Linked DNA regions of Anolis sagrei. The protein of the gene in region 3 interacts with the protein of the main gene of each other region in a pairwise test. Links are inferred from orthologs where the notes say so. Each region holds a gene or a part of one and is shown on either strand. Other genes may lie near its edges.

Region 1 (6,840 bases), on a different chromosome or scaffold from region 3:
ATTTATTGAAAATAAAAAAATAATGATAAAGAAAAAGCAAAGTCTTCAGGAAGAAAGACTAGAGCCATTCTTGACACACACCAGCTGCTAAACCCGACTCCAATTAGTCACCAGAATATTTGAAACAAATGTTGCCCCAACGAAAGAGAGGGGGATATAAAACAAAGTAAATAATAAAGAAATAAACAAAGCCATGAGTGCGGAGTGATTAATACCAGCCCTCTGCCCCCAAAAAAACAATTTTTGAAATTGTGAAATGGCCTCTTCTTTCAAAATTTGTGTCAACAGCCTATTGCTGGTCTGTTATTAATTTTCGGTTTTCAAAATGTTGCTTTGTTCCGCAGCGACACCCATCAGCATGATGCCTGTTACTTTCCCCCTAAATCTCTCCTATACAAGACCCTAAATGGCGTATCTTTCTCATCCTTACAACCCTCTATGCTTTTTCAAACTGTCCATACAAACATTAGAAGGAACTTCCTGATGGTAAGAGGTGTTTGACGGTGGAATATACTGCCTGAGACTGTAAGGGAATCTCCTTCTCTTGAGATTTTTAAGACGAGGCTGGATGGATATCTGGCTTGGTCTGGATGGGGTTGGACTGGATGCCCCTTGGGGTCTCTCCCAACTCTACGATTCTATGATCCTAGAATTGTAGAGTTGGGAGAGACCCCAAGGGACATCCAGTCCAACCATCTGTCAGGAGGGCTTGAATTATGTCTCCGCATTGGGGGAGATCTCAAAGGATATCCAGTCCAACCATCTGCCCAGAGGGCTTGGATTAGGTCAGGATAGGGTTGGACTAGATGCCCCTTGGGGTCTCTCCCAACTCTACGATTCAATTATCCAAGTTAGGAGAGGTCCCAAGGAGCATCCAGTCCAACCATCTGTTGGGAGGGCTAGGATTATGTCTGGATGGGGTTGGACTGGATGCCCTTTGGGGTCTCTCCCAACTCTACAATTTTGGAATTGGGATCTCTCTCAACTGGATGCCCCAAGGGACATCCAGTCCTACTATCTGTTGGGAGAGTTAGGATTATGTCTGGCTGGGGTTGGACTGGATTCCCCTTTGGGTCTCTCACAACTCTACGGTTCTATAATCCAAGTAGGGAGAGGTCCCAAGGGGCATCCAATCCAACCATCTGTCGGGAGGGTTAGGATTATGTCTGGACGGGGTTGGACTGGATGCCCCTTGGGGTCTGTCCCAACTCTACGATTCTCGAATCGTAGAGATTCCAAAGGGCATCCAGTCCAACCAACCCCATCTGGACATAATAAAACCCCTCCCGACAGATGTCCATACAGCCTCTGCTTCAAATCCTGCTACCATCTGTCGGGAGGGCTAGGATTATGTCTGGATGGGGTTGGACTGGATGTCCCTTGAGTTCTCTCCCAACTCTACGATTCCATGATCCTCAAATCGTAGAGTTGTGAGAGATCCCAAGGGGCATCCAGTCCAAAAAACCAACCCCATCCCGACATAATAAAGCCCCTCCCGACAGATGTCCATTCAGCCTCTGCTTCAAACCCTGCTACCATCTGTCGGGAGGGCTAGGATTATGTCTGGATGGGGTTGGACTGGATGCCCCTAGAAGTCTCTCCCAACTCTACAATTCTATGATCCTCGAATCATAGAATTGGGAGAGATCCCAAGGGGCATCCAGTTCAACCAACCCCATCCGGACATAAACCAATCCCTCCCAACAGATATCCATCCATCCTCTACATCAAACCCCGTTCCCTTTTAGGCGTTTTTGTTTTAACTTTGGAGGATTGCGTAAACTTCTCACCTCCTTCATTTTCCTCATTCCTTCTTCCCTTTCCTTTGGGCGTATCCTTTTGCGTACAAACCTGTCCTTCCTCCCAAACTAGACCCCTCCTACTTCAGCCCTTTGGCCAATTTCTTTTTTTATGAGGAGTTTTTTTTGCGGGCATAGGGTAAAATGAAAACATATTCAGGATGGATATTTTGAAAAGGACGGAAAACAATAAGAGAAGCAACATTTGACAGTACATTCACACATACATAACATTATAATAACCACAATATATATATATGACTTTAAATTGCGTATTATACATATTTTTGTGGGTATAGAGGAGGGATGGGGCAACTTGGGCCCTCCAGATGTTTTGGACTCCAACTCCCACCATTCCTAACAGCCTCAGGCCCTTTCCTTTTCCCCCTCAGCCGCTTAAGGAAGGAAGGGGCCTGAGGCTGTTAGGAATGGTGGGAGTTGGGAGTCCAAAACACCTGGAGGGCCCAAGTTGCCCCATCCCTCCTATACACACACATATGCCTGTCTAGAAATAGTATATACATATAATCCAAGGAAATAATTTGTCCCTTTCTGCTCATCCACTCACTTTTGTAGACAATGCTTTTCTGAGGTAAACATAATCTTGTTTGGCTTTTCTGAGGTAAACAAAATCTAGTTTGGCTTTTCTGAGGTAAACATGATCTAGTTTGGCTTTTCTGAGGTAAACAAAATCTTGGTTTTTCTGAGGTAAACATGATCTTGTTTGGCTTTTCTGAGGTAAACATAATCTTGGTTTTTCTGAGGTAAACAAAATCTAGTTTGGCTTTTCTGAGGTAAACAAAATCTTGGTTTTTCTGAGATAAACATGATTTTGTTTGGCTTTTCTGAGGTAAACATCTTGGTTTTTCTGAGGTAAACATAATCTTGGTTTTTCTGAGGTAAACATTATCTTGTTTGGCTTTTCTGAGGTAAACATGATCTAGTTTGGCTTTTCTGAGGTAAACATGATCTAGTTTGAATTCTCTGAGGTAAACATGATCTTGCTCTCCCTTCTCTTGAAACCTGACCCCTTCCTAATGGTTCCTCCTGTTGGACTCCCAGCTTCCTGCTCTCCCCTTCCTCTCCTGGCCTCAGCCCCCTTTTTCCCCCGGACCGACTTCCGCTGCTTACCTTCAACGCCGCTCCCTCGGTCTCCTCTGTGGCGCTGTAACGACGAGAAAGGCTAAACCCCTTGCGCGCTCCACTCAGGCCCCATGCACTCGTCCGCGTGAGCCGGGCACGCCCCCCTCTCCCAGCTGTCCACCAATCGCCTCCGCCCGAGCCTCCCGCCACGCCCCCTCATTGGCCGCCCCTCCCCGCTCGTCTTGCTCAGCTCGGCTTGCGATTGGCCAGCCGGCGCCGCAACATGCAGGCTGCCGCGTGACAGCTTCGGCAAAACCAGCCCCGCCCCCTTCCGGATCCTATTGGGTCGTTCCGCAGCAGCATGCAGGAGTCCGCGTGCCGGCGGGCCACGCCCACTCCGGGCGCCCATTGGTTGTCTCCGCCACGCAGGCTTCCCATTGGCTGGCCTGCTTCGGAAAGGAGTACACGTGCCAAAAGGCCTCACGCGGCCGCTGCTGCTGTAAGTGTTTACAGTTTGGAGAGGCAAAAAGGGGGCGTGGCGGGAGAGGCGGGGGCGTGGCCTCCAGTTTGACGAAGTTTGGCGCCGAGGGGGCGGGGCCGATAATTTGGAAGAGGCGACGTGGGGGAGGGAAGGGTAGAAGGCTCTTTTCCTTCTACATTTGATATATATACACACACACACATATACACACACACACATATATATACACACATATGGAAAACACAAGAATGGCCATCAGACTGGAAAAAATCAACTTATATCCCCATACCAAAAAAGGGAAATGCGAAAGACTGCTCCAACTTCCGCACAGTGGCCCTTATTTCTCATGCCAGTAAGGTAATGCTCAAGATCCTGCAAGGAAGACTCCAGCAATACATGGAGCGAGAGTTGCCAGATGTTCAAGCTGGGTTTAGAAAAGGCAGAGGAACGAGAGACCAGATTGCCAATATCTGGATGCTGGATAATGGAGAAAGGCAGGGAGTTTCAGAAAAACATCTACTTCTGCTTCATTGACTACTCTAAAGCCTTTGACTGTGTGGATCATAATAAATTGTGGCAAGTTCTTAGTGGGATGGGCATCCCAAGCCACCTTGTCACTCTTCTGAGGAACCTGTACAAGGACCAAGGAGCCACAGTCAGAACTGACCACGGAACAGGAGACTGGTTCCAGATTGGGAAAGGCGTCCGGCAAGGCTGCATCCTCTCACCCAACCTTTTTAACTTGTATGCAGAACACATCATGCGAGGATGTGCGGGGCTTGATGAATGCAAAGCTGGGGTGAAAATTGCTGGAAGAAACATTAACAACCTCAGATATGCAGATGACACCACTCTGATGGCCGAAAGCGAGGAGGAGCTGAGGAGCCTTCTAATCAAGGTGAAAGAAGAAAGCGCAAAAGCTGGGTTGCAGCTAAACGTCAAAAAAACCAAGATTATGGCAACAAGAATGATTGACAACTGGAAAATAGAGGGAGAAAATGTGGAGGCCGTGACAGACTTTGTATTTCTAGGTGCAAAGATGAGTGCAGATGCAGACTGTGGCCAGGAAATCAGAAGACGCTTACTTCTTGGGAGGAGAGCAATGTCCAGTCTCGATAAAATAGTGAAGAGTAGAGACATCAGACTGGCAACAAAGATCCATTGCCTAGTCAAAGCAATGGTATTCCCTGTAGTCACCTACGGATGTGAGAGCCGGACCTTAGGGAAGGCTGAGCGAAGGAAGATTGATGCTTTTGAGCTGTGGTGTTGGAGGAAAGTGCTGAGAGTGCCTTGGACTGCGAGAAGATCCAACCAGTCCATCCTACAGGAAATAAAGCCCGACTGCTCACTGGAGGGAAAGATACTAGAGACAAAGTGGAAGTCCTTTGGCCACATCATGAGGAGAGAGCAAAGCCTAGAGAAGACAATGATGTTGGGGAAAGTGGAAGGCAAAAGGAAGAGGGGCCGACCAAGGGCAAGATGGATGGATGGCATCCTTGAAGTGACTGGACTGACCTTGAAGGAGCTGGGGGTGGTGACGGCCGACAGGGAGCTGTGGCGTGGGCTGGTCCATGAGGGCACGAAGAGTCAGAGACGACTGAACGAATGAACAACGACAACAAACACAGGTATGTGCAGGCCTGTAGCAATTTTCACCCCAGCCTTGCATTCATCCAGCCCCGCGCATCCTCGCACGATGTGTTCTGCATACAAGTTGAATAGTTTGGGTGAGAGGATGCAGCCTTGCCGTACGCCTTTCCCAATCTCGAACCCGTCTGTTGTTCCGTGGTCAGTTCTGACTGTTGCTTCTTGGTCCTTGTACAGATTCCTCAGGAGAGAGGGAAGGGGGCTTGGTATGCCCATCCCACCAAGAACTTGCCACAATTTATTATGATCCACACAGTCAAAGGCTTTAGAGTAGTCCATGAAGCAGAAGTAGATGTTTTTCTGAAACTCCCTGCCTTTCTCCATTCTCCAGCATCCGGATATTGTCAATCTGGTCTCTCGTTCCTCTGCCTTTTCTAAACCCAGCTTGAACATCTGGCAACTCTCGCTCCATGTATTGCTGGAGTCTTCCTTGCAGGATCTTGAGCATTACCTTACATACACATACCTGTGTTTATATCTATATAAATAAAAATGTAATGTTCGTTTGTGGGATTAACAAAACTCAAAAACCACTGGACAAATTGACACCAAATTTGGACACAAGACACCTAACAACGCAATGTATGTCCTTCACTCAAAAAAATTGATTTCGTCATTTGGGAGTTGTAGTTGCTGGGATTTATAGTTCACCTACAATCAAAGAGCATTCTGAACCCCACCAACGATGGAATTGAACCAATCTTGGCACACAGAACAGAGAATACTGGAAGGGTTTGGTGGACATTGACCTTGAGTTTTGGAGTTGTAGTTCACCTACATCCAGAGAGCACTGTGGACTCAAACAATGATGGATCTGGACCAAACTCTACACAAATACTCAATATGCCCAAATGTGAACAGGGGTGGAGTTTGGGGAAAATAGAATCTTGACATTTTGGAGTTGTAGTTGCTGGGATTTATAGTTCACCTACAATCACAGAGCATTCTGAACCCCACCGACAATAGAATTGGGCCAAACCTCCCACGCAGAACCCCCATGACCACCAGAGTGGGCCACAGCAGTGCGTGGCAGGGGATGGCTAGTATATACAGTAAGAACTGACCCTGGAACAACAGACTGGTCCATGACTGGGAAAGTCGTACGGCAGGGTTGTATACTCTCCCCCAACCTATTCCACTTGTATGCAGATATATTAAATATTTATTTATTTATTTATTTATTTATTTATTTATTTACTGCATTTGTAGACCGCCGTTCTCAGCCCTAGGGCGACTCACGGCGGTGTACAACATATAAAAACAAATTACAATATAAGCAATATCACAGACAACAATAACAACATCACAGTCAATAATACAATTACACTAAATCATTCGCGACGTCTAATCATAGAATCACAATCCGATCTCGTTATCCATGTTCCGTTCCAAACGTCATTGCCAATTGATGTAGCACTAGTCAAACGCCTTCTCACACAACCATGTCTTTCGCCTCTTGCGGAATGTTATCAGGGAGGGCGCCTGTCTGATGTCTACAGGGAGAGTGTTCCACAGCCGGGGGGCCACCACTGAGAAGGCCCTATCCCTCGTCCCCACCAGGCGTGCCTGTGAGGCAGGCGGGATCGAGAGAAGGGCCTCCCCAGACGATCTCAAAGTCCTCGTGGGCTCATAGGCCAAGATGCGGTCAGACAGGTATTTTGGGCCGGAACCGTTTAGGGCTTTGTAGGCCAACACCAGCACCTTGAATTGGGCCCGGTAGCAGATCGGCAGCCAGTGGAGCTGGGACAACAAGGGCGTTGTATGCTCCCTGCGTCCTGCTCCCGTTAGTAATATGGCTGCCGCGCGCTGGACTAGCTGGAGCTTCCAGGC
Region 2 (6,877 bases), on a different chromosome or scaffold from region 3:
GACAATGCTGGCTCTTCGGCTTAGAAATGGAGATGAGCACCACACCCCAGAGTCGGACACAACTGGAGTTAATGTCAAGGGAAAACCTTTACCCTACCTACCTAAAAATACATTTTTTTTAAACGGCAAAACAGCGAGTCCGCATAAGGCAAACTGCAAGACAGTGAGGGAACACTGTAATTCCACTGCACTGTCCTATTTTTTTAAATCCTGCTCCCAGAACCAGGTTTCGACTTTCCTCCTGAAGGCTAGGAGGGAGGGGGTTAATCTAATGTTGCTAGGGAGGGAGTTCCACAACCAAGGGGCCACCACTGAGAAGGCCCTATCTTTTGTCCATACCAATCGCACTTGCAAGGAAGGTGGGATCTAGAGCAGTGCCTCCCCAGATGATCATAAACTCTGAACTGGTTCATAGGGGAAGGTTCAGCCAGGTAGACCGGGCCGGAAATGTTTAGGGCTCTATAGGCTAAAGCCAGCGCTTTGAATTGTGCTCGGAAGCAGACTGGCAGCTAGTGGTTCCCTCTTGAAGTAAGACTCAAGCCTGTTCCAAAAATCAATGCTTCCTCTCATATGCCCAATAATCTTGGTTCACCCAGTAGTCAACCAAAAGAATAACTCATATCAAAATACCATCTCCACCTCATAAGCAGTCTCAGTAATGGATTTTCACCATGAAGTTATAATCATCAGCTAGAAAGAGGGATAGTGAAGCTGTATGAAAAGAGTGATAGGGTAATGGTCAAAATAAGGACAACTGTGGCAAGGCTTTTATAAAAGTGTGATATGCTTGATGGACACTCTTTCACTTGGAGGCAGAATAACACACACAAAAAGAATTCTTCAATTAAAACATCCAACTCATATTTATAAGCCACAGAGATAATTTTTGGAGTATACCAATATAGAATGAGTTCCCTTGCTCATAACCCTAAAGCAGATAAGAATGTATTTGGAAGTACACACGATACTTTGTTTACAATTGCTAGGAAGTTAAACAGGACTTAGTTCCCAGTAAACAGGTTTCATTCCCTTTGAGAGCTGGAGAGCTGAGCCTGTTTATTCAATGTTGTCTCTTTCAAAGCTTAATATCAGTTATGTGAGTTTTATTATTTTTTGTCTCTCTGAGCATCTTCCTAGTTTTCTATAAGTTTGTTTCAAAATGAATTCAAAATATGTATTCCACTGTCTATGCTGAAGTTTAAAAGCAAAAAGGTCAGCCAAGTGTGGCATTAGTAGATGCCGAACGGCCAGGAACATTGTTTCCAAAATAATAATTAAAACGAAAAGCCAACTATGGAGTTAGAATGCGAACTCCATCCTCCATCCTGTAGCATGCTGGGCAGGAATGTCTTCCAAATCAAAAAGAAAGAAACCCTACAGAACTGGCATTGGAATCATGTGGCTTTTTATTATTATTTATTAACTTTATTTGTACCCCGCTAGCAACTCCCGAAGGACTCAATGCAGCTTACAAAGGCCAAGGCCTCAAAACACAACATAACAGTACACAACCTAAAGAGACCATACTCTACAGTGTGTCCTTGGATGATGTTTGGTCCCAGGCCCTCCATACATACAAAAATCTATGGACGCTCAAGTCCCATTATATACAATGGAGTAGTAAAACCAGTTCTCTTTGCATAAAATGGCAAAATTAATGCTTTTAGACGTCTTTTCAAGCTGCGGATAGTTTAATCTATGGGTGCTGTATCCGTAGATAAGGAGGGCCTGTTATAAACAAACTGAGCTCCCTCAAGGAAGGGAAACTATGGTAATGTCCATTTCCTTATCTCTCCTCAGCCACCCAGGACAAGCTCTTTCTTTGATACTTTCCCTGTAACAAATAACATGTCAGGAAATACAGACATGCGCCCCTTGGGAGTTGTAGTTTGGTGAGGCACCAGCACTCCTGAGCAAAGCATGCTAATAGACTTTGTAAAACTGCAGCTGTCTTGATTCTATAGCAGGCATGAGCAAACTTGGGCCGACCATGTGTTTTGGACTTCAACTCCCACCATTCCTTACAGCTTAAGCGGCTGAGGGGGAAAAGAAAAGGGCCCAAGGATGTAAGGAATGGTGGGAGCTGAAGTCCAAAACACCCCATGCATGAGCTATCTTGACTTACTAATTTGCATATGGTTTCTGATTGGTCCGCCTCAACATTCCAACATTCTTAAGTGGCTGAGAGGAAAAAGGAAGAGGCCTGAGGCTGTTAGGTATGGTGGGAGTTGGAGTCCAAAACACCTCGAGGGACGAAGGCTGCCCATGCCTGTTCTACAGCATTGAACCATACTACCAAACTGTGTCAATTCTACAATGTAGACGTACCCTTAGAAATACAGTAGAATGTGGTGCATTTACACAGTAGAATGAATGCATCCTGGCACCCCTTTAACTGTCATTGCACAATGTGATGGCTACCTGGGAGTTGTAGCTTTACGAGGTCTTGAGCAAGCTACCCCCCCCCCCCCCGGATTGCACAGCAGCTAAAGCGGTGTCGAAGTGCGTTAAGGAGACGCTGAGCGGCCTCTTACAAGCCGGACGCGTGTATTTTGTGCCGTGAGGACCCTCGCCCACCCTTTTTGGGCATATTACGCAGAAGCAGAGCCAACCGCATTGACAGACACACACACAGAATAGCTATTCCCCCCGGGCTTCCTCCGAAGGGGAACCGCTCCAACCGCTCCTTCCCCTCAGCTGCAGCCAAAGGGATCCCCTTCGCCTCGGCTTCAGCACAGCAGGGATTCCCCCGTGGCCTCCCCTCCCCACCTTGGGCCGCCCGTTTCCTCACCGTGTTTCGAAGGGCGCGGGGGTCACGGCTGGGCGCCCCCTCTCTCTCTCTCTCTCCCTCCCTCCTCCTTCCTTCCTTCCTGCCTTGCCTCCTCTTGCGCCGCGTAGCGAAAGGAGTGGCGCCCGGCGCAAGCAGCAACAGCAGCAGCCCCTGTACCTGACCTACTTTCCGCCTGGCTTGCCGCTGAACGTCGCACCACTAACCTACTTTCCAACCAATGGCTTCTCCCCCCGCACCGAGCCCCCGACCAATCGCGGGGCACAACCCTCCAGAGCCAATCGTCGCCCAAAGAGCGGCCCCTTCGGCCCGCCTTCCGACCCGGGCGGCCAATCGCCATCGCCGCCCGGCGAGTGAAGGCGTCGGAATGGCGAGAACGCGCTTGTGGTTCCCGCCTGCTTTAGAAGACAGGAGGAAGGGAGGGAGGAGGGTTGTGGGGAGAGGCGCGCGCGCACTTCTCTCTCGCGCTGCCTCCCTGCCAGCCTCGGGTGGCTCCAGCGGCGAACGGTTGCGTAAGGGACTGTTTGGGACGGGCGGGACCCGGATGTAGGGCTGCCGAGGCGCGGCCCAGCTTCCCCTGCGCGCGCTGCTGTCGTCACAGGGAGGCCGCCCGGGGACTCCAACGCCGCGCGCCTCAGATCCCTTCGAGTCTCCGAGGGGGCCTCGCTCCTCCTCCTTCCCGGTGGCGCCTGAGAAACGTTTCAGGATGGCAGGGAGCACCCCTTCCCCCCTTCCCACCACACAGACCTGTAACATTGAGAATTACACCCACCTTACTATTTTGTTTTCTCGTTTTATCAAAATGTTCTATTCCGTAACGAAAAATTGCCTCAGGTCTTCACCATCAGGTACAGGTTGAGTATCAGAAGTGCTTAGGACCAAAATGTCCAGTATTTGGGATTTTTTTAAATCATATTTTGGAATATTTGCATGTATCAATTTTTTTGTCGTGTCAGAAGCGACTTGAGACACTGCAAGTCGCTTCTGGTGTGAGAGAATTGGTTGTCTGCAAGGACGTTGCCCAGGGGATGTCCGGATGTTTTGATGCCCCCATTGGCGCAGTGGGTTAAACCCCTGTGCTGGCAGGACTGAAGACCGACAGGTCACAGGTTCAAATCCGGGGAGAGGCGGATGAGCTCCCTCTATCAGCTCCAGTTCCCCATGCGGGGACATGAGAGAAGCCTCCCACAAGCAGGGGCGGCTCAACCCATTATGCAAAGTAAGCATTTGGAGTATAGTTGATTTTGCCCAGGGGCACTCTTGAGGTGCTCTTAGGGAAAAATAGATCTTGACATATGTGAGTTGTAGTTTCTGGGATGTATAGTTCACCTACAATCAAAGAGCATTCTGAACTCCACCAATGATGGAATTGAACCAAATATGGCACACAGAACTCCCACGACGAACAGAAAATATATATCAGTGATTGGTTGGGGGGAGGGGGCACCAAAATACTGTTTGCTTACCATTGAAAATTACCTCGGGCTGCCTCTGCCCACAAGGATGTATCAAATGAGTTATCCTGAAGGTAGAACCCCACAGTCTCAACAGGGAACTTGCATGTATTTCATACACAACTTTGATACAAAGTTTGCACAATATCTTTTAATACTTCTGTGTTGTTGTTTATTTGTTTAGTTGCTTGTGACTTTTCGTGACCTGGACCAGCCCACGCCAGAGCTCCCAGTTGGCCATCACCATCCCCAGCTATCACCAGCCCCAGCTCCCTCAAAGTCAAGCCAGTCACATCAAGGATGCCATCCAGCCATCTTGCCCCTCTCCCTTTTTCCTTCCACTTTTTCCAGCATCATTGTCTTCTCTAAGCTTTCCTGTCTTGTCATTATGTGGCCAAAGTACTTCATCTTGGCCTCTAATATCCTTCCCTCCAGTGAGCAGCCAGGCTTTATTTCCTGGAGTATGGCCTGGTTTGATCTTCTTGTAGTCCAAGGCACTCTCCAAATTTTCCTCCAACACCACAGTTCAAAAGCATCTAACTTCCTTCGCTCAGTCTTCCTTATGGTCCAGCTCTCACATCTATAGGTTGCTACAGGGAATACCATGGCTTTGACTAGGCGGATCTTTGTTGCAAGTGTGATGTCTCTACTCTTCACTATTTTATCGAGATTGGTCATTGCTCTCCTCCCAAGAAGTAAACGTCTTCTGATTTCCTGGCTGCAGTCTGCATCTGCAGTAATCTTTGCACCTAGAAATACAAAGTCCGTTACTGCCTCTATTTTTCCAATTCTCAATCAGTTTGGTTGCCATAATCTTGTTTTTTTATGTTTAACTGCAGCCCAGCTTTTACAATTTCTTCTTTCACCTTGGTTATGAGGCTCCTCAACTCCTCCTTGCTTTTGACCATCAAAGTGATATCATCTGCATATCTAAGCTTGTTAACATTTCTTCAGCAATTTTAAATCCAGCCTTGGATTCATCAAGCCCCTCACATTGCACAATGTGTTCTGCATACAAATTGAATAGGTAGGGTGAAAGTATGCAACCCTGCCGTACTCCTTTGAACCACTGGAAAGCAAAGGTGTCAGTATCTCAGCCATTTCTTTGGATATTTCCGGATAAGAGATATTCAGCCTGTACAGTTTTTTTCCACAATTTGCTTTGGTATTTCTATGCTTCAAAATGTGTGATTAAATGAAATTATATTAAAATTCCTAATAAAATTTGTGAAATAACTGTGTGTGGTATAAAAGAAATATTGAATTTGTTTGAATTCAGCACTTAAAAATCTTATTTACAACAGCTACAATATTGAAAACAGGTATTTATCATTGCACACCTATGAATTTGTTCTTTTGTCTCTATGGGCAAATGCTTCCTGGATTATGAGGCTGCCTTTGCAATTGAATCTTATTTTCTTCCAGGCTTTCTGCGATTCCAAGTGTGGTAGGGCTGTGATGGGAAATTGCAATATGTCGGTAGTCATTTGGGTGGCCTGCAGGAGCATAATTTTTATTATTCATTGAAGTAATGGAACTCGAGGCATGTTAAGAATTGGAGTAAGAAAATAGAGCATTGGTTCCCAACCTGTGGGCCGCGAGACCTAAAATAAGGTCTGCGAGATGTGGGGAAAATTGGCACCAGGGGTGCATTGGAGGAGAGAGGGAAGGAAGGAAGGAGCACCAGCGCGTTGCCCTCACCCTTACCAGTGCTTTCTCAGCCTAGGTTTCTCAGACCAGGATGGAGAAAACTCACCTGGCGATATGCGTGAGGGAGCGAGAGAGTGAAGGAGAGGGAGAGAGGAAAGAAGGCTGTTGCACTTGCCAGCACTTCCTCAGCCTTCAGAGGCTTCCCAGGCCAGGGCGGAGAAAACTCACCCAGTTACACGTGTGAGGGAGTAAGAGAAGTCCCCCAAAGTTGTTGTTGTTAGCTCCCATTGCCACATATCAGATGTAATGGGCAAGCAGCCCTTTGTAAGACCCTCTTTAGTCCCCCAGTTGTTATTAAAGCCATAAGGGACAGTTTCTTAGGTCTCACACTCTGCTTTTTGTATTTTTTTCAACTTCAGCCCCCTCTTTTTTAAAAAAAACAGGAATGTTAACAAAATCCACAGATAATAACACAGTCCAATTATTTTTCTTGGTGTCTTTGTTTTTAGGCCTGTTCCTGGGGTTATTTTGGGTGCTGATTCAGAAAATGCATTGGATAGACCACATCAGCTCGAGATTATTAAATATGGTTTTCTGTGGGCAAGCAGATGACAACTACTGGATATGTTTTGTATCAGAAACTAGAGCTGATGTGGTGTAGCCAATGCAGTTTTCTGAATCAGCACCCCAAACAAACCAAATCTAAAGTTGACCAAAAACTGATTCATAACCTTTTGATACTAATATGGAGAGTGGTCCCTGGTCAAAAAAAGGTTGGGAACCACTGAAGAGTAAGAAAATAAAGATTTCTGGCAATCTGGAAAGAACAGCATCAACAAATGGGCTACATCCTCCCCTCCCCCATCCCCGACCACTATATTATATTGTTGAAGAGAGTTTGGGGGTAATCTGGAATGGATTTGTATATGAAGATGAAATGTGAAGTCTGTTCTGGTACAATACAGTTCTGGTTGGTTTCGTGGCT
Region 3 (7,336 bases):
CAGAGGGCAGAGCAGCCTTCCATAGCCTGCAGCTCTGCGCCTGTCAACCACCTCCACCAAGTCTGGCCTCCTTAATGAGAACATTCAACACACACATACCCAACTTGGTTGCTTCACTACATCGGCTATTGCTGCAAGTAATGACAGTGTGAATAAATTGTCAGTATTTGCCTGAGATAGTGCTTGCAGTTCTGGAGGGACTCTTAATTTTTTGCATCTCATAGACTTAGCATGGGGATTTGGTTAACCAGTTAAAATTCATGAGTAAACCAGTTTTTTTTAAAAAAATCTGAAACATTTCGGGAGGGGTTTGAACCCCTAACCCCCCCCCGCCCCTCGCTACAGGCCTGCTCAGTTGTATGGTGTGCTTATGTTTTGTTGTTGTACACTCCTTGACATGAGCAGCGGCATGAAAATATATTAAGATATCAAGATGAATGGTGCTCCATGTGATCATGCTGGCCACATGTCCTTGGAGGTGTGTACGGACAATGCCGGCTCTTCGGCTTAGAAATGGAGATGAGCACCACACCCCAGAGTCAGACATGACTGGACTTAATGTCAGGGGACTACCTTTACCTTTACAAAAGGTTTGCTAGGGTAGACCCTCTTTCACTCAGACTCACCCCCCCCCCCAATTGAAATCCTGGCTACGGGTCTGATCCTAGGACTGGGCCAGCTTAAGCAGCTGAGGGGGGGGGGGGGGAGGCCCAAGGCGGTTAGGAATGGTGGGAGTTGAAGTCCAAAACACCTGAAGGGAAGGCTCAAGCTGGCCCAGGCCTGTGATACACAATGCTGCTGTGTTGATGGGCTTAAGTGGCTGAGGGGGAAAAGAAAGGGCCCGAGGGGGTTAGGAATGGTGGGAGTTGAAGTCCAAAACAACTGGAGGGAAGGCCCAAGCTGGCCAAGGCCTGTGATACACAATACTGCTGTGTTGATGGGCTTTAAGTGGCTGAGGGGGGGAAGGAAAGGGACTGAGGCTGTTAGGAATGGTGGGAGTTGAAGTCCAAAACACCCGGAGGGCCCAAGTCCACCCATGCCTGGTGTGTTGTTGTTCTTCATTCGTTCAGTCGTCTCCGACTCTTCGTGACCTCATGGACCAGCCCACGCCAGAGCTCCCTGTCGGCCGTCACCACCCCCAGCTCCTTCAAGGTCAGTCCAGTCACTTCAAGGATGCCATCCATCCATCTTGCCCTTGGTCGGCCCCTCTTCCTTTTGCCTTCCACTTTCCCCAGCATAGTTGTCTTCTCTAGGCTTTGCTGTCTCCTCATGATGTGGCCAAAGTACTTCAACTTTGTCTCTAGTATCCTTCCCTCCAGTGAGCAGTCAGGCTTTATTTCCTGGAGGATGGACTGGTTGGATCTTCTCGCAGTCCAAGGCACGCTCAGAACTTTCCTCCAACACCACAGCTCAAAAGCATCGATCTTCCTTCGCTCAGCCTTCCCTAACGTCCAGCTCACACATCCGTAGGTTACTACAGGGAATACCATGGCTTTGACTAGGCGGATCTTTGTTGCCAGTCTGATGTCTCTGCTCTTTACTATTTTATCGAGACTGGACATTGCTCTCCTCCCAAGAAGTAAGCGTTTTCTGATTTCCTGGCCACAGTCTGCATCTGCAGTAATCTTTGCGCCTAGGAATACAAAGTCTAGGTTCTTGTGGGTTTTATCGGGCTATAGAGCCATGTTCTAGAGGCATTTCTCCTGACGTTTCGCCTGCATCTATGGCAAGCATCCTCAGAGGTAGTGAGGTCTGTTGGAATTAGGACAATGGGTTTATATATCTGTGGAATGGCTGGGGTGGGGCAAGGAGCTCTTCCCCGCTGCAGTTAGGTGTGAATGTTTCAGCTGATCACCTTCATTAGCATTTGAAGGCCTGGCTGTGCCTGGGAAAATGTTCTGTTGAGAGGTGTTAAGATGTGCCTGGTTGTTTCCTCTCTGCTGTTTTGCTGTTGTAATTTTAGAGGAAAGGGCCTGAGGCTGTGGTGGGAGTTGAAGTCCAAAACACCTGGAGGGAAGGCGCAAGCTAGCCAAGGCCTGTGATACACAATACTGCTGTACTGATGGGCTTAAGTGGCTGAGGGGGGAAAGGAAAGGGCCTGAGTCTGTTAGGAATGGTGGGAGTTGAAGTCCAAAGCATCTGGAGGGCCGAAGTCCACCCATGCCTGGTGTAGACCCAATATAATACAGCTTAACTGCGTCCAATGCGTCCTGCACTACCCACACCGACCTAACGACGACACCCAAACTATTTCGAGGGAAACAGCAGGCTACTTCCGAGTGTTACATAGTACCTGCAGCAGCGTTGTATAACCAGGCGGCGCCGCGCATGCGCACACTCCCGGGAGAAAAGGGAGATTTAGAAGCGGGGGGGGGGGGGCTTGCTTACATAAAGTAAAAAGATGAGGGAAGGGCTGCCACTCACCTCCAGCGGTTGATGCCGACGTTGGAAGAGCCGGCGAACCAGGGGTCGAGGATGTAGACGCAGCGGACGCTGTCGGCTCCTTGGATGACCTCCCTCAGGGCCGGGTTGTCATGGAGACGGAGCCCCTTGCGGAACCAGTGCACCGCGTTCACCCCCATCACTGACGAGAGGCAGCACAAGCAGGAGAAGAGAACGGTTACAGCCGAGGAGCGTGGCTCAAGTCGAAGCCAAGCTCATGCCGCCGCTGAGCGGGGAAGAAGAAGAAGAAGAGGGCCAAGAAGCGACGAGAAACCGCTTTAAGATCCCGTGGAAGCAGCGGCCGCGGCGGTGGAAGCAGCGGCGACGGTGTTGGGGGCGAAACGCATCCCTCTCGGATTGTTTTCCTTCCTCAGCGCCCCTCCTGGGTTTCCAAACTGCCGCCCCCTCCCTCTCCTCCTCCTCTTCCACTCTCTATTCCTAATTAATTCCCTCTAAATAGCCGTTTTTTTCCCCTCAGAGGAAAGAAGAATGAAGGGGAAATAACCCAACTTCCTTCCTCCCTTGCCGCCCGCCCTGTGACTCGAGGCAACTCGTCCCAACGACGGAAGCCGCCAAGCTCCGCCCTTCCTCGCCCCTGATTGGCCACCCCCGCACCACGTGACCGGGGGCGCCTCACGTTTCTGAAATGTGTTTTTCCTGCCTCGTGGAGGGAGAGGGATGGTTATGCAGGTCTTCTTATCTATGTAACTAATGAGATTGCCGTACAGGATGGTATAATACAATATAGTAATATATAATACCAATATTGTGCTATGCTAATAATAATACACTATATTATTTATACACTTTATTGTGTATAATAGGCAAATAATAATAATAATACACTTATGTATAATAGAAATGATACATAATAAAGTGTATAAATAATATATAATATAAAGTCTATTATTATTAGCCTATTATACATAATAAAGTGTATAAATAATATAAAGTCTATTGTTAATATTAGCATAGCACAATATTATATATAGTATATCATTTTATTATACATAAAGTGTATAAATAATATAAAGTGTATTATTATTAGCATAGCACAATATTATATTATACATAATAAAGTATATTAGTAATATAAAGTGTATTATTATTAGCCTATTATACATAATAAAGTGTATAAATAATATACAATGTATTATTAGCCTGTTATACATAATGTATAACATTATTGAGGGCCCCCGGTGGCGCAGTGGGTTAAAGCACTGAGCTGCTGAGCTTGTTGATCGAAAGGTCACAGGTTCGATTCCGGGGAGTGGCGTGAGCTTCCGCTGTCAGCCCTAGCTTCTGCCAACCTAGCAGTTCGAAAACATGCAAATGTGAGTAGATCAATAGGTATCGCTCCGGCGGGAAGGTAACGGCGCTCCATGCAGTCATGCCGGCCACATGACCTTGGAGGTGTCTACGGACAACGCTGGCTCTTCAGGCTTAGAAATGGAGATGAGCACCACACCCCAGAGTCAGACATGACTGGACTTAATGTCAGGGGACTACCTTTACCTTTATACATAATGTAGTGTATAAATAATATAAAGTGTATTATTATTATTAGCACGTGTGGACCATAATGACGGATCTTGCTAAAGATCGATGCTTTTGAGCTGTGGTGTTGGAGGAAAGTGCTGAGAGTGCCTTGGACTGCGAGAAGATCCAACCAGTCCATCCTCCAGGAAATAAAGCCCGGCTGCTCACTGGAGGGAAGGATACTAGAGACAAAGCTGAAGTACTTTGGCCACATCATGAGGAGACAGCAAAGCCTAGAGAAGACAATTATGCTGGGGAAAGTGGAAAGCAAAACGAAGAGGGGCCGACCAAGGGCAAGATGGATGGATGGCATCCTTGAAGTGACTGGACTGACCTTGAAGGAGCTGGGGGTGGTGACGGCCGACAGGGAGCTCTGGCGTGGGCTGGTCCATGAGGTCACGAAGAGTCGGAGACGACTGAACGAATGAACAACAACATTATTATTAGCATAGCACAATATTATATATAAATAGTGTATCATTCTTATTATACATAATAAAGTGTATAAGTAATATAAAGTGCATTACTATTATTATTTGCCTATTATACATAATAAAGTGTATAAATGATAAAATGTATTATTATTAGCATAGCACAATATTATATATAAATAGTCTTTATATTATTTATACACTTTATTATGTATCATTTCTATTATAATAAAAATGATACACTATTTATATATAATATTGTGCTATGCTAATAATACATTTTATATTATTTATACACTTTATTATTTATAACTGGCTAATAATAATATGCATTATATATTAGTTATACACTTTATTATGCATAATAAACATGATACACTATATATAATATTATGCTATGCTAATAATAATACACTTTATATTATTTATACACTTTATTATGTATAATTGGTTAATAATAATACACTTTATATTATTTATACACTTTATTATGCATAACAAAATGATATACTATTTATATATAATATTGTGCTATGCTAATAATAATACACTTTATATTATGTATACACTATTATGTATAATAAAAATGATATACTATATATATAATATTGTGCTATGCTAATAATAATACACTTTATATTATTTATACACTTTATTATGTATAATAGGGTAATAATAATACACTTTATATTATTTATACACTTTATTATGTATAATAAAAATGATACACTATTTATATATAATATGCTATGCTAATAATAATACACTTTATATTATTTATACACTTTATTATGTATAATAGGCTTATAATAATAATACACTTTATATTACTAATATACTTTATTATGTATAATAAAAATGATACGCTATTTATATATAATATTGTGCTATGCTAATAATACATTTATATTACTTATGCACTTTATTATGTCTAATTGGCTAATAATAATAATAATAATATACACTATATATTATTTATACACTTTATTATGCATAATAAAATGATACACTATATATAATATTGTGCTATGCTAATAATAATACAGTTTATATTATTTATACACTTTATTATGTATAATAGGCAAATAATAATACACTTTATATTACTTATACACTATTATGTATAATAAAAATGATACACTATTTATATATAATATTATGCTATGCTGATAATAATACACTTTATTTATAATATATTGTATTTACATCTAATATTGATAATAATATAATGTAATACAAAATATTTATTTATTTATAGAATTTTTTCAGCCCAAAGGCAACTCAGGGCGGCATACAGATTGGCAACAATTAGATGCCATAAACATACATACATACATATCAATTAAAAACATCTAATATCACATAATAAAAATCCATATAAAAATCAATTAAAACTATAATAATTAATGTGTACCAGTTCAACTCCTTAGCCATTTGCATTGTCTAATAATAATAATAATAATAATAATAAAGCCTGAAAAAGTTACAGGTGTATATATGTGTGTGTATATATATTTGTGTGTGTATATGTGTACATGCATATTGTGTACATGTGTGTGCTTGTCTATATGCATATTTGTGTGTATATATGTATGTGGATATGTATGTGTATGCATGTGTATATGTATATATGTATGTGTGCATGTATATGTGCATGTGTATATGTATATCTATGTTTGTATGAATGTGTGCATGTGCATGAGTGTATGTGTATATGTATATAGGGTGTATTTGGGGGTATTTAAGTCTGTTCCACTGGGGTTTTGTGTGTGTGTGTTTATGGGTCATGGACACTCGTTGGACTATTAGGTGTCTTGTGTCCAAATTTCGTGTCAATTCGTCCAGTGGTTTTTGAGTTATGTTAATCCCACAAACAAACATTACATGTTGATTTATATAAGACTAGCCGTCTCCTGCCATGCCTTGCTGTGGCCCACTCTGGTGGTCATGGGGGTTCTGTGTGGGAGGTTTGGCCCAATTGGTGGTGTTCAGAATGCTCTTTGATTGTAGGTGAACTGTAAATCCCAGCAACTACAACTCCCAAATGTCAAGATTCTATTTCCCCCAAACTCCACCAGTGTTCACATTTGGGCATACTGAGTATTTGTGTAGAGTTTGGTCCAGGTCCATCATTGTTTGAGTCCACAGTGCTCTCTGGATGTAGGTGAACTACAACTCCAAAACCAAAGGACACTGCCCACCAAACCCTTCCAGTATTTTCTGTTGGTCATGGGAGAACTGTATGCCAAGTTTGGTTCAGTTCCATCGTTGGTGGGGTTCAGAATGCTCTTTGATTGTAGGTGAACTATAAATCCCAGAAACAACAAAATCATTTTTTTTTGAGTGAAGGAGATACATTGGATTGTAAGGTGTCTTGTGTCCAAATTTGATGTCAATTCGTCCAGTGGTTTTTGAGTTCTATAGATAGATAGATAGATTAGATAGATAGATTAGATAGATAGATTAGATAGATAGATTAGATAGATAAGACAGATAGATTAGATAGATAGATAGATTAGATAGATAGATTAGATAGATAGATTGACTGACTGATAGATTAGATAGATAGATAGATTAGATAGATAGATTAAATAGATTAGATAGATAGATTAGATAGATAGATTAGATAGATAGATAGATAGATAGATATCCCCCTTTTTCTCTCCATAAGCATGAAACCATAAGGGGGGGGACGACATAAATAACAAGATTCCAGAGAAGGCGGGGTATGTTGAAGCCACGCCCCTTCTGCGCGGAGAAGTACCCGGATAAGCACGGGGCTTCCATGGAAAGGTTTTTTTTTCCCCCCTCCAAGTTTTGAAAGCCAATAGGAAACGGGCTGACGAGCGCGCGCGCGAGAGCGAGAGAGAGACGCGAAGTTGGACAGCGCGAGTGAGCGCAGACGGAAAGAATGTGCCCTGGCT

What was found.
Region 1: the proteins of CRY1 (region 3) and PER1 interact in binary tests that used the Homo sapiens proteins (3 or more experiments, as listed by UniProt). The link is inferred for Anolis sagrei from reciprocal best matches to the Homo sapiens genes CRY1 and PER1.
Region 2: the proteins of CRY1 (region 3) and BMAL1 interact in a two-hybrid assay, tested with the Homo sapiens proteins (3 studies listed by BioGRID, with this or other methods). The link is inferred for Anolis sagrei from reciprocal best matches to the Homo sapiens genes CRY1 and BMAL1.

What each region holds. Positions count from the first base shown.
Region 1 is NC_090026.1:7,344,844-7,351,683, reverse strand, and holds the start of PER1 (period circadian protein homolog 1), read right to left. Parts: upstream 3,002-6,840; 5' UTR 2,931-3,001; intron 1-2,930. UniProt on the Homo sapiens protein: Transcriptional repressor which forms a core component of the circadian clock.
Region 2 is NC_090021.1:254,885,058-254,891,934, reverse strand, and holds the start of BMAL1 (basic helix-loop-helix ARNT-like protein 1), read right to left. Parts: upstream 3,002-6,877; 5' UTR 2,792-3,001; intron 1-2,791. UniProt on the Homo sapiens protein: Transcriptional activator which forms a core component of the circadian clock.
Region 3 is NC_090025.1:169,420,670-169,428,005, forward strand, and holds the start of CRY1 (cryptochrome-1), read right to left. Parts: upstream 3,014-7,336; 5' UTR 2,583-3,013; coding exon 2,425-2,582; intron 1-2,424.